Linked DNA regions of Oryza sativa Japonica Group. The main gene of each other region encodes a partner of the protein of the gene in region 2 in a complex. Links are inferred from orthologs where the notes say so. Each region holds a gene or a part of one and is shown on either strand. Other genes may lie near its edges.

The links. Proteins that work in one complex are often made in the same cells at the same time.
Region 1: probable mediator of RNA polymerase II transcription subunit 26b (region 2) and mediator of RNA polymerase II transcription subunit 27 share a complex: the UniProt entries of both Arabidopsis thaliana proteins name them as parts of the mediator complex. The link is inferred for Oryza sativa Japonica Group from reciprocal best matches to the Arabidopsis thaliana genes AT5G05140 and AT3G09180.

Annotation. Positions count from the first base shown.
Region 1 is NC_089035.1:8,936,444-8,940,751, forward strand, and holds the start of mediator of RNA polymerase II transcription subunit 27, read left to right. Parts: upstream 1-1,508; 5' UTR 1,509-1,533; coding exon 1,534-1,862; intron 1,863-3,635; coding exon 3,636-3,797; intron 3,798-4,308. Other genes in the region: pentatricopeptide repeat-containing protein At5g57250, mitochondrial, read right to left, coding at 1-1,316. UniProt on the Arabidopsis thaliana protein: Component of the Mediator complex, a coactivator involved in the regulated transcription of nearly all RNA polymerase II-dependent genes.
Region 2 is NC_089039.1:20,347,259-20,351,478, forward strand, and holds the start of probable mediator of RNA polymerase II transcription subunit 26b, read right to left. Parts: upstream 2,803-4,220; 5' UTR 1,978-2,802; coding exon 1,387-1,977; intron 1,287-1,386; coding exon 1,218-1,286; intron 1,129-1,217; coding exon 1,046-1,128; intron 795-1,045; coding exon 739-794; intron 644-738; coding exon 519-643; intron 414-518; coding exon 386-413; intron 305-385; coding exon 1-304. UniProt on the Arabidopsis thaliana protein: Component of the Mediator complex, a coactivator involved in the regulated transcription of nearly all RNA polymerase II-dependent genes.

The sequences.
Region 1 (4,308 bases), on a different chromosome or scaffold from region 2:
CCGCTGCTCTCAAGCCTACCTTTTATTGCCATTACACCAGTTGCATCTTCTACCTTAATGTGACCATGTAACAGCGTGCTATATGTGAAGTTATCAGCAGCAATACCTTCATATATTTCAACAGCCTTCTTGGTGTGACCAACCTTACATAGACCATTTATTACTGAATTGTATGTTACGATTCCAATCTTTATCCCCTTTTTATCCATCTCTTCAAGCAAAGAGAAAGCCCTATCCAAATATCCCTTTTTGCACAAATTGTCAATCAAAATTGAGTAAACATATTCATCCACCACCACTCCTGTCTGTTCCAGTTTCCTCACTATAGAAAAAGCATCATCCAACCTGTTTCTCTTGCAGAAACCACCAATCAATGATGTATAAGTGATCAAATTCGGCTTAGCATCCCTTCGGTTCATCTCATCCAAGAATCCCATCACTTTTTCCACACTACGTTCTCTGCAAAGTCCATCAATAACAGTAGTATAACTAACTACATCAGCTGCAATGCCCTTATCTAACATCACCCGATGCTCACGGAGCCCTTTCATCAATAACCCGCTACTCATGTATCCATGAACCAAGCTGCCATATAAAACAGCATCACCAACCAACCCCTTCCCTTCCATCTCCCTTACCAATTGTGCTGCCTCAGTAGTTCTCCCTACACGGCCAAGCACATCGACAAAAGCGGTTAATGTGATCAAGCCTGGCTCAAATCCATTGAACTCTCTCCTCACCCTCCTATAGAATTCCAGCCCATCCCCAGCCTTCCCGACCTTGGAGAAGCCTGAAATGATCACGCTGCAAACACGATCATCCACCTGACACCCCGCTGCAGCCATTACGTCGAACACCTTGAGCGCGGTCTCCATGTCACCGCGGGCACACAGCATCGTCAGGGCCACACGATACGTGGACGGAGAAAACACGAGCCCGCACTCCTCTACGCCGGCGGAGAGCACCTCCAGCGCGCGGCGAGCATCGCCGCGCACCGCGCAGGCCCGGCGGAGCAGCGCGTCCCAGAGGCGGCGCGCGGAGGAGGTTGCCGGGCCGGCGAGCGCGAGGCGCGCTGCCGCGTCGCGCGGACGGGAAGAATCTAGAAGCGCCGAGGCGACCAGGAGGTGGGTGCGCGCGGTGGGGCGCACGGAGTTGGCGACCGCCTGCGAGGCGAGCGCGCCGACGAGGCGGTGCCTCCGCCGGCGGAGGAGCGCCGCCAGTAGGATGTCCACGCGGCGCGGCGTGACGGCCCTTCCGAGCTTGACCAGCGACGGGAGCGGCGGTGGTGGTCGGGGCTCGCCGCCGGCGAGCGGCATGGCGGAGGGTGGTGGTGGTGGCGCCGCCGCCGCGTGGGAAGCGAAGCGCAAACGTTCGAAACGTTGGAAGCCGATGGCGTGGGCCGAATTTGGATACGAGCTTGTTTGGATCTGGGCCTGAATAGATATGGGCTTGTATTGGTTCTGGGCCTGTTTGGATATGGGCTTATTTAGGTGAGGCGTTTCGAGTCGGAAGCGAGAAGGGGAGAAGAGGAAGATGCAGCAAGCGCAGGCGTCGGCGGTGGTGGCCGCGCCGGTGGCGGCGGCGGCGGCGGCGGCGGCGGGGGCGACGGGGCACCAGCACGAGGGGGCGAGGGGTGACGCGCCGCCGAAGCAGGTGGCGCAGGCGATGGAGCGGCTGGGGCGGGCGGGGCGGCTCATCGCGGACATCCGGCTGGGCGCGGACCGTCTGCTCGAGGCGCTCTTCGTCGCCGGCGACGCGCCCCCGCACAGCGCCCCGCAGCACGTTGAGAAGACCGCGCTCGCCGTCGCCCAGGAGGAGGCCGCCATGCACCGCCACTTCGACGACCTCCGCGCGCTCGGGAGGTAAACCCATCTCCGCCCCGTGCCCCCACACTCTCCGATTCAGAAGTTTTTCATCGATTCCTTAACCTTTGACTGTTACGTCGCAAAATACAACTAATTCCCTCCGAGAAGAACCATTCCCGTCATGATTCCACGGTTGCAGTCTCAAAATGAAAAAGGAACATTCCCGTCATGATACCACGGTTGCAGTCTCAAAATGAAAAAGAAATATTCCCGTCATGATACCACGGTTGCAGTCTCAAGAAGAAAAAGGAAAACCCTTGTCTAGATAATTTCTGGAAATTGGTGGCTGGGATATTGATTTAACTTCTTTGGATTGTATGATTGGACTTTTTTTAAAGTAATAATCTCCTTCCCAGTTTAGGCATGGCAGCACATTTTTTTTCCACTAAATTGTTCTGTAATAATGGTTAATCACCATAAACTGATGCCACACTCTTCTTTGGTGTTATCCAATTGCTTGTATCTTGTGAAACCCTTCTACCTATGAAACCTTGCTACGAGAGATGCACGGACAGGCTTAACTGCTCAACTTTGGTATATGAACTTTAGCATTCTAGAATATTGGCTGGGTGCCTGGGTCTATCAGATTGGGATGCATTTCTGGAACTCGTGTTCCTTGGCTTGTAATAGAGCAATATTTAACCTTAATTGAACAGCTTCAGCTTGAACTTGTTTTGGGGCTGTTTGGATCAGGGACTAAAATTTTAGTCCCGGTCACATCAGATGTTTAACACTAATTAGAAGTATTAAACGTAGATTAATGAAAAAATCCATTTCATAACCTTGAATTAATTCGCGAGACAAATCTATTGAGCCTAATTAATCCATGATTAGCCTATGTGATGCTACAGTACACATGTGCTAATTATGGATTAATTAGGTTTAAAAAAATTGTCTCGCGAATTAGCTCTCATTTATGCAATTAATTTTATTATTAGTCTACGTTAAATACTTCTAATTAGTATCCAAACATGCGATGTGACAGGGACTAAAATTTAGTCCCTGGATCCAAACACCACCTTAGTGCCACTCAGGGCTCGAACTAGTTTTAGTATCACTCGTGGATGGTAAGGATGTAGGGTAGGTGCTCACTCTATAATATTGTCTCAGCAGAGCAGTTATGTGTTGGGTACAATTGTTTACATGTGACCACTTGACCAGTCGTTTGTTGAAGAAGTCTGCAGGCATTTGGAAAATCCATGTTTCATGGCAACATGGTACTATTCTGTCTGATGAATAAAATGTCCAAGCAATATGAACTGCTTGTTAAACGATGGTTTTTGAGTCTTTCTGCAACCTGAAGTTGCTAGATAAACGGAAGATGAAATTTGCAGGTGATATAGTTATGATTTTAGACAGAATAGTTAGTTTGTGAAAATCCTGAAGTTAGGAGTACTAGATAAGCTTAAGCCATGTGACTGAGATTTTTTTAAGTCAAAGGATATTAGGAGCCATCTTCAATAAAGTTAGGTATGTGAACAGGATGGATTCACTCGATTTTGCTGGTGCTTTCTTATTGTTCTTTCACAGTATTCTTGTTATAGTGTTTGGGTTAGTTGTGCTTGTTGCTATTCATGATGTTTTTACTTTGTGATGAACCATCAATCATTGCTTACACAGTTCTCCTGGTAAGTTCCAATTATTTTTATTGAACTTCAAGTTTCAAGTTCCACTATTTCTTCATAAGTGTTGGCCTAGCCAACTGAAAGTAAAGATCTAGTTTTTAAACTGTAGCCTAATAAATATCTTGTATCCATTGCTGTTAGGAAGGCAATTGGAAGAGTCTGGAGTTCTAAATGGAGCCCTTAAAGCCAGAGGCAATTCATGGGGCTTGCACATGCCACTTGTTTGTCCAGATGGTGCAGTTGTGGCATATGCTTGGAAGCGTCAGCTGGCTGGTCAGGCTGGTGCATCAGCTGTTGACAGAACTAGGTAATTTCATTACCATCATTGTTGTGTTGTATGTTTGCTGCCACAATATGATGTGCTTATTTGTCTTATTTATATTCTGTTGATGTGTGAGATTTCATCAACCGTGCATTGCAGAATGCAGATTAAATATTTATACCATGTTATTTCTTCCTGCGATATACGATAATTTTCTTGGCCGATAAATTTGTACTGTTGTTTCCCTCTTTCCCCTTTAAATTTGTACTGTTGTTTCCCTCTTTCCCCTTTTTCCCTTATTTCTCCTTTTTCCCTCTTTTGTTTCTTCTTTTGCACTTTGCTTTCTCTAATCCTTCTACTATGATAATTACATTCTTCCAAGGTGTGGAGTGCTTTTGTAGGAATTGAAGTATTAGATCAGTTCTTGTTTTCGTTGCATCCATATTTTATTTTGATTTTACACAGAATGCATCGGAAATATTCCAACGCCCTTCATTCATGTGCTTCTTTAGATGTATGTACTTATGTTGAAGGCTTCAAGCCTTCGGATCATCCC
Region 2 (4,220 bases):
GGCTTCTGCTGAGGAGCTGCCCTTAATGGTCTCCCAGGTCCAGAATCAGAACTCAAGGGCTTAGATTGCTTGTGAAGCATGGCCTGCTGTTTGACTTGCAAACTTGAATTTTGAGGGGTTTGTGGGTTAGCCTGCCTCATTGATGGCTCTTGCCTTGCCAATTCCGGCCTCCTGGATTGAACTTTTTCAACAGCTCCCATGTTACGGGGAGGCTCTTGCTTTGTCAAAGCTGGATGGCTTGTAGGCCTCCTGCCATAATTTTCTCTCTTATTTCCAAGGCTCCCATCATTGTTATGTCTCAAGTCTGTCATAAAATGTATAACTTGAATTATTATAGTGCACAGAAAAAAAAGGGAAACTATGTAATTTGAGTTGTTGTACTTACTTCCATCTTCATCCATTTCATCAAAGAACTTTAGGTCAGGAAGATGAAGCAGAAAGAAAAACAACAATGCAAAGTTAGAATTGTGTTCTGGACCAAAACAATCCAGATACCAGGAACAAACAAAAATTAGTACCTCAGAGAGTTGAATAGCAGTAGTCTGGGTTGCAAAGAACGCCCCTTCATCCAGAGGTGGAGAAGGAAGCCCTTCATCATCAGCATCATCGACAACAGATGTTTTTGAAGAGCCCGGGGAGTTGTCTACAGATCAAAAGATCCATTACATGTTAAGAGGTGAACATTCACTTACAAATTGATGACTCATACGCGATATGAAACAAAATAACTTTTATTACCTGTAAGGGCAACATTAGTGGTGCTGACCCACTCATCAACCAAAATTTTCCAACCTCTGAAAAAAAAATGTTTTAAGACGTCAACAATGTTTCCAAAATTGGTTAATAACCACACTACAAATAAGGTAAATAATTCACTCAAGTAGTACAAAGACTGGAGAATACAGAAGCTAAATCAGTAGACTCGTATCATGTTTTCAGAAACTTATAGGTACAGTAGAGTATCAATTTGCTTCAGCAAGTTCTCTAAATTAAAAGCTAGATCAGCCCTAGAGAATGAAATTTAGTGCAAGCATATTGAACTTACTCAATGAGAGTGCGCACAAGGTGACGAATTTGCTGCGAGTTGTGCTTCCGCAGCCCATTAACAGCCCTCCCAATCTCAGTAGCCTACAACAAACAACATCGGAGATTAGCAAACCAAACAGAACCACTATGCGTCACTCCGCATAGCTCATATGCGCTATCCAACACAGTACCTTCAGCGTGGAAACGGACAATTGCATCAGCTGCAGCCTCCTCAGTGATTCGAACAAAGTAGCATCCGACTGCGAAAACCACAGTTGAGATCAAATGTTAAGTCCCTGTTGAGGAATGGCACAACTCTTACTCATGGAAGAACTGAAAGCTGGGAATAGTTCATCATACATGATCTTCCTTGTGCAAGAAGAGGTCCTTGATGCGGAGAACCTCGCCGACGACCTGTGACTCCTCGTCGATCTCGTTGGTGAGTGCCTCAAGCTCCACAGCCTCGGGGTCCAGCTCTTGTTCTTCGTCCTCTTCAGCCGGCGCCGCCTCCTGCTCCTCCTCTTCCTCCTCGTCGTCATCATCGTAGTTGTGACCGTAGTTGCTCGCCGCGGCGCGGCGGAGGCGCTCGTCGTCGGAGTCAGAGTCAGAGTCGTCATCGACGTCGTCGCGGCGGCCGCCGCCGCCGCCGAGGGCGCCGTTGCTGCTGCTGTCCACCTTGCTCTGCTTCTCGGGGACGCGGCGCACGCTGCCCTTGTCCTCCTCCACGGGGGTGGCCGGGGTCGGGGTGGCGGCGCTGCCGCACCCGTGGTGGCAGGGCGGGGCGCGCGGCGCGGTGAAGAGGATCTCGCAGATGCGGTCGCGGCGGCGCAGGAGCTCCTGCGGCGCGTCGGCGGCGGCGACGAGGATGGCGTTCTCGATCACGTCGCAGATTCCGGCGGAGCCGGCCGCCCCGCGGAGGAGCTCGCGCCACCGATCCAGCCGGTCGGCCATCGCCGCCGCGGCCACCCGAGATCGGGCTCCCCCCACCTCCACCTCCACCCCCACGACTCCGATGGCTCCCCTGGCACCACCAAGAATCGATGCCCTCTCTCGATCACCTCCTCCTCCTCCTCCTCACAATCTTGAAATTTCTTTTTCCCCTTATCAGATTACGTTGCACCAAAAGAATCTAATCCAACCCGATCGCGAATCAGATGCCCCCCACCGAGGGAATCCCCCAACCGGGAAAGCGAAATTCTCCCGAGACAGCGAAAAATCAATCTAACGAACACCGCTGCCTCTCCTCAACGCCAAGAACGAATCAATCAAGAAGAGAAAACCCCAAAAAAAAAAAACAAATCAATCCTCACACCACCCAAACCCAATCTCCCCTCCCTTCCTTTGCTTCACCCCCACGTCCACGTTACTTGACGATTTCAACCCAACAAACAAAACAGCTCCTAACCAAATCTTATCTGTGCCGTCGCCGCCGCAGGAGGAGGAAGACGACGACGACGAGGGGGAGAGGGAATGCGGGGAGGGGGGTTGGATAGGGACGCGGCGGATGGCGAGGCACACGCAACGCAAAAACGAGAGCCCACGAGAACTACGCAAGCTCGACTCTACCAAACAACAACAACTACTCCTCCTCCTAATTCCCCCGCACGCACACCACCACCACCACCATGGCCTCCTAGTGGTAACAACAAATCTCGCGTCTCCCTTTCCCAACTCCTTCCGTTCGTCTCGTTCTCTCTCTCGCGCAACGGAGGTCGCAGCTTTTCTCGGTCTAGGACTTTCCGGGGGGGCCCTTTTTTTTACCGGGTTTGGGGACACAGCCACACAGGGCGAGGTCACTACGGTTTTGGAGAGGGAGGCGGCCTCGTGGCTGTTTCTCGGCTTTGACCCTGTCGAGTTGTTGGTGGGATGCAGGTCCTCTCATGCAGTAGGCTCCCTGACATGTGAGCCCTATAGCCCCTCGGGCCCACATATTAGTGAGCAGTACGGCACATGCAGTACTGGAGAGGATCTCAACTGTTGTTGGTGGGAGTGGGACTAGTACTACTCTTTCCTGTAGTGTTTGGTTGGTAATAGTAGCATTCGTTTTTTGTTTATTGGGCTAATGATTCCCGTTTGATATCCACTTAATTCAAGTTTAGTTTTCAAACTTGGGTAGGTGAGCATCATCTACCATAATATCACTGTTATTATATAATAGGATCATCCTCTTATTTGTTTCATATATAAGTGTCTATAGTATGTGAACCAGTTGTATGCACGTACCCACCTCCATCCCAAAAGAAAAACTCAACTTACGAAGGATTGTCCATTTTTAGATGAATAGAGTACTCTCTCAATTCTATAAAAGACTAAATTAGTACGAAATATGATATATTTTAATACTATAAATCTGAATAGACGTTCAACACTATGTTATTTTTTTTATGGAACCAAGAAAATACGTGCATGCAACCGTAGCCGCCGTAGGCCACTCAAATTTTAAAAAGTAAACTTGGATTGTATCTATATAAATATATTTGTGGTATTAGAATGTGTCACGTTTCGGTAATAGGGTGGTTTTTTTATGGAATGGAGAATGTGCTTTAGGAGTACTATTAATTGTTGAGGCCCAATGGACTATTTTTGGCATCATTTTCGAAACATGGTGCGAGGAAATAGTATTGGATTAGTAAATGCCAATCGATGGTTTGATATAGTATAGCACAGTAGTACACCGTAGGATCAAAGAAATATTTATGCTCTGTATAGCTTCTTCTTTTTTGAATAGAAAAAGAATGGAGTACTTTTAGCATCCTTTTCAAAACAAGGTGCTAATGTAGTAGCGAAATCTTGGATTAGTAAATGGCGATCAAGATTGATTAGCAATATACGCTGTATCATCAAAGAAAATATTTAGGCGGCAAATACTCCTTTCTATTTATAAAAAACTGAGCTATCTATTAACAGTGAAATTTGATAATCGACAAAGGCGTCATCGGCTTAGAATCATTATCGGCTGTAGCATCTCGGAATCAGCCGATGAGAGTTATCAAGTCACCAATAGTCGAATTCCTGCTATATTCGGTTAAGGAAATCAATCTACTAAAGGAAGCTTATCTCTAAGTGACCGAGTTTAAAGAGGATGCGGCATGGCAGTTTATCTATTAATTAGGAATAGTTTGTTAGTTTCCTTTTTATCTTTAGAAAAGTGTGTTTAGTGTCCGATAAGGACTTTATATTTTCCTTTTATCTTT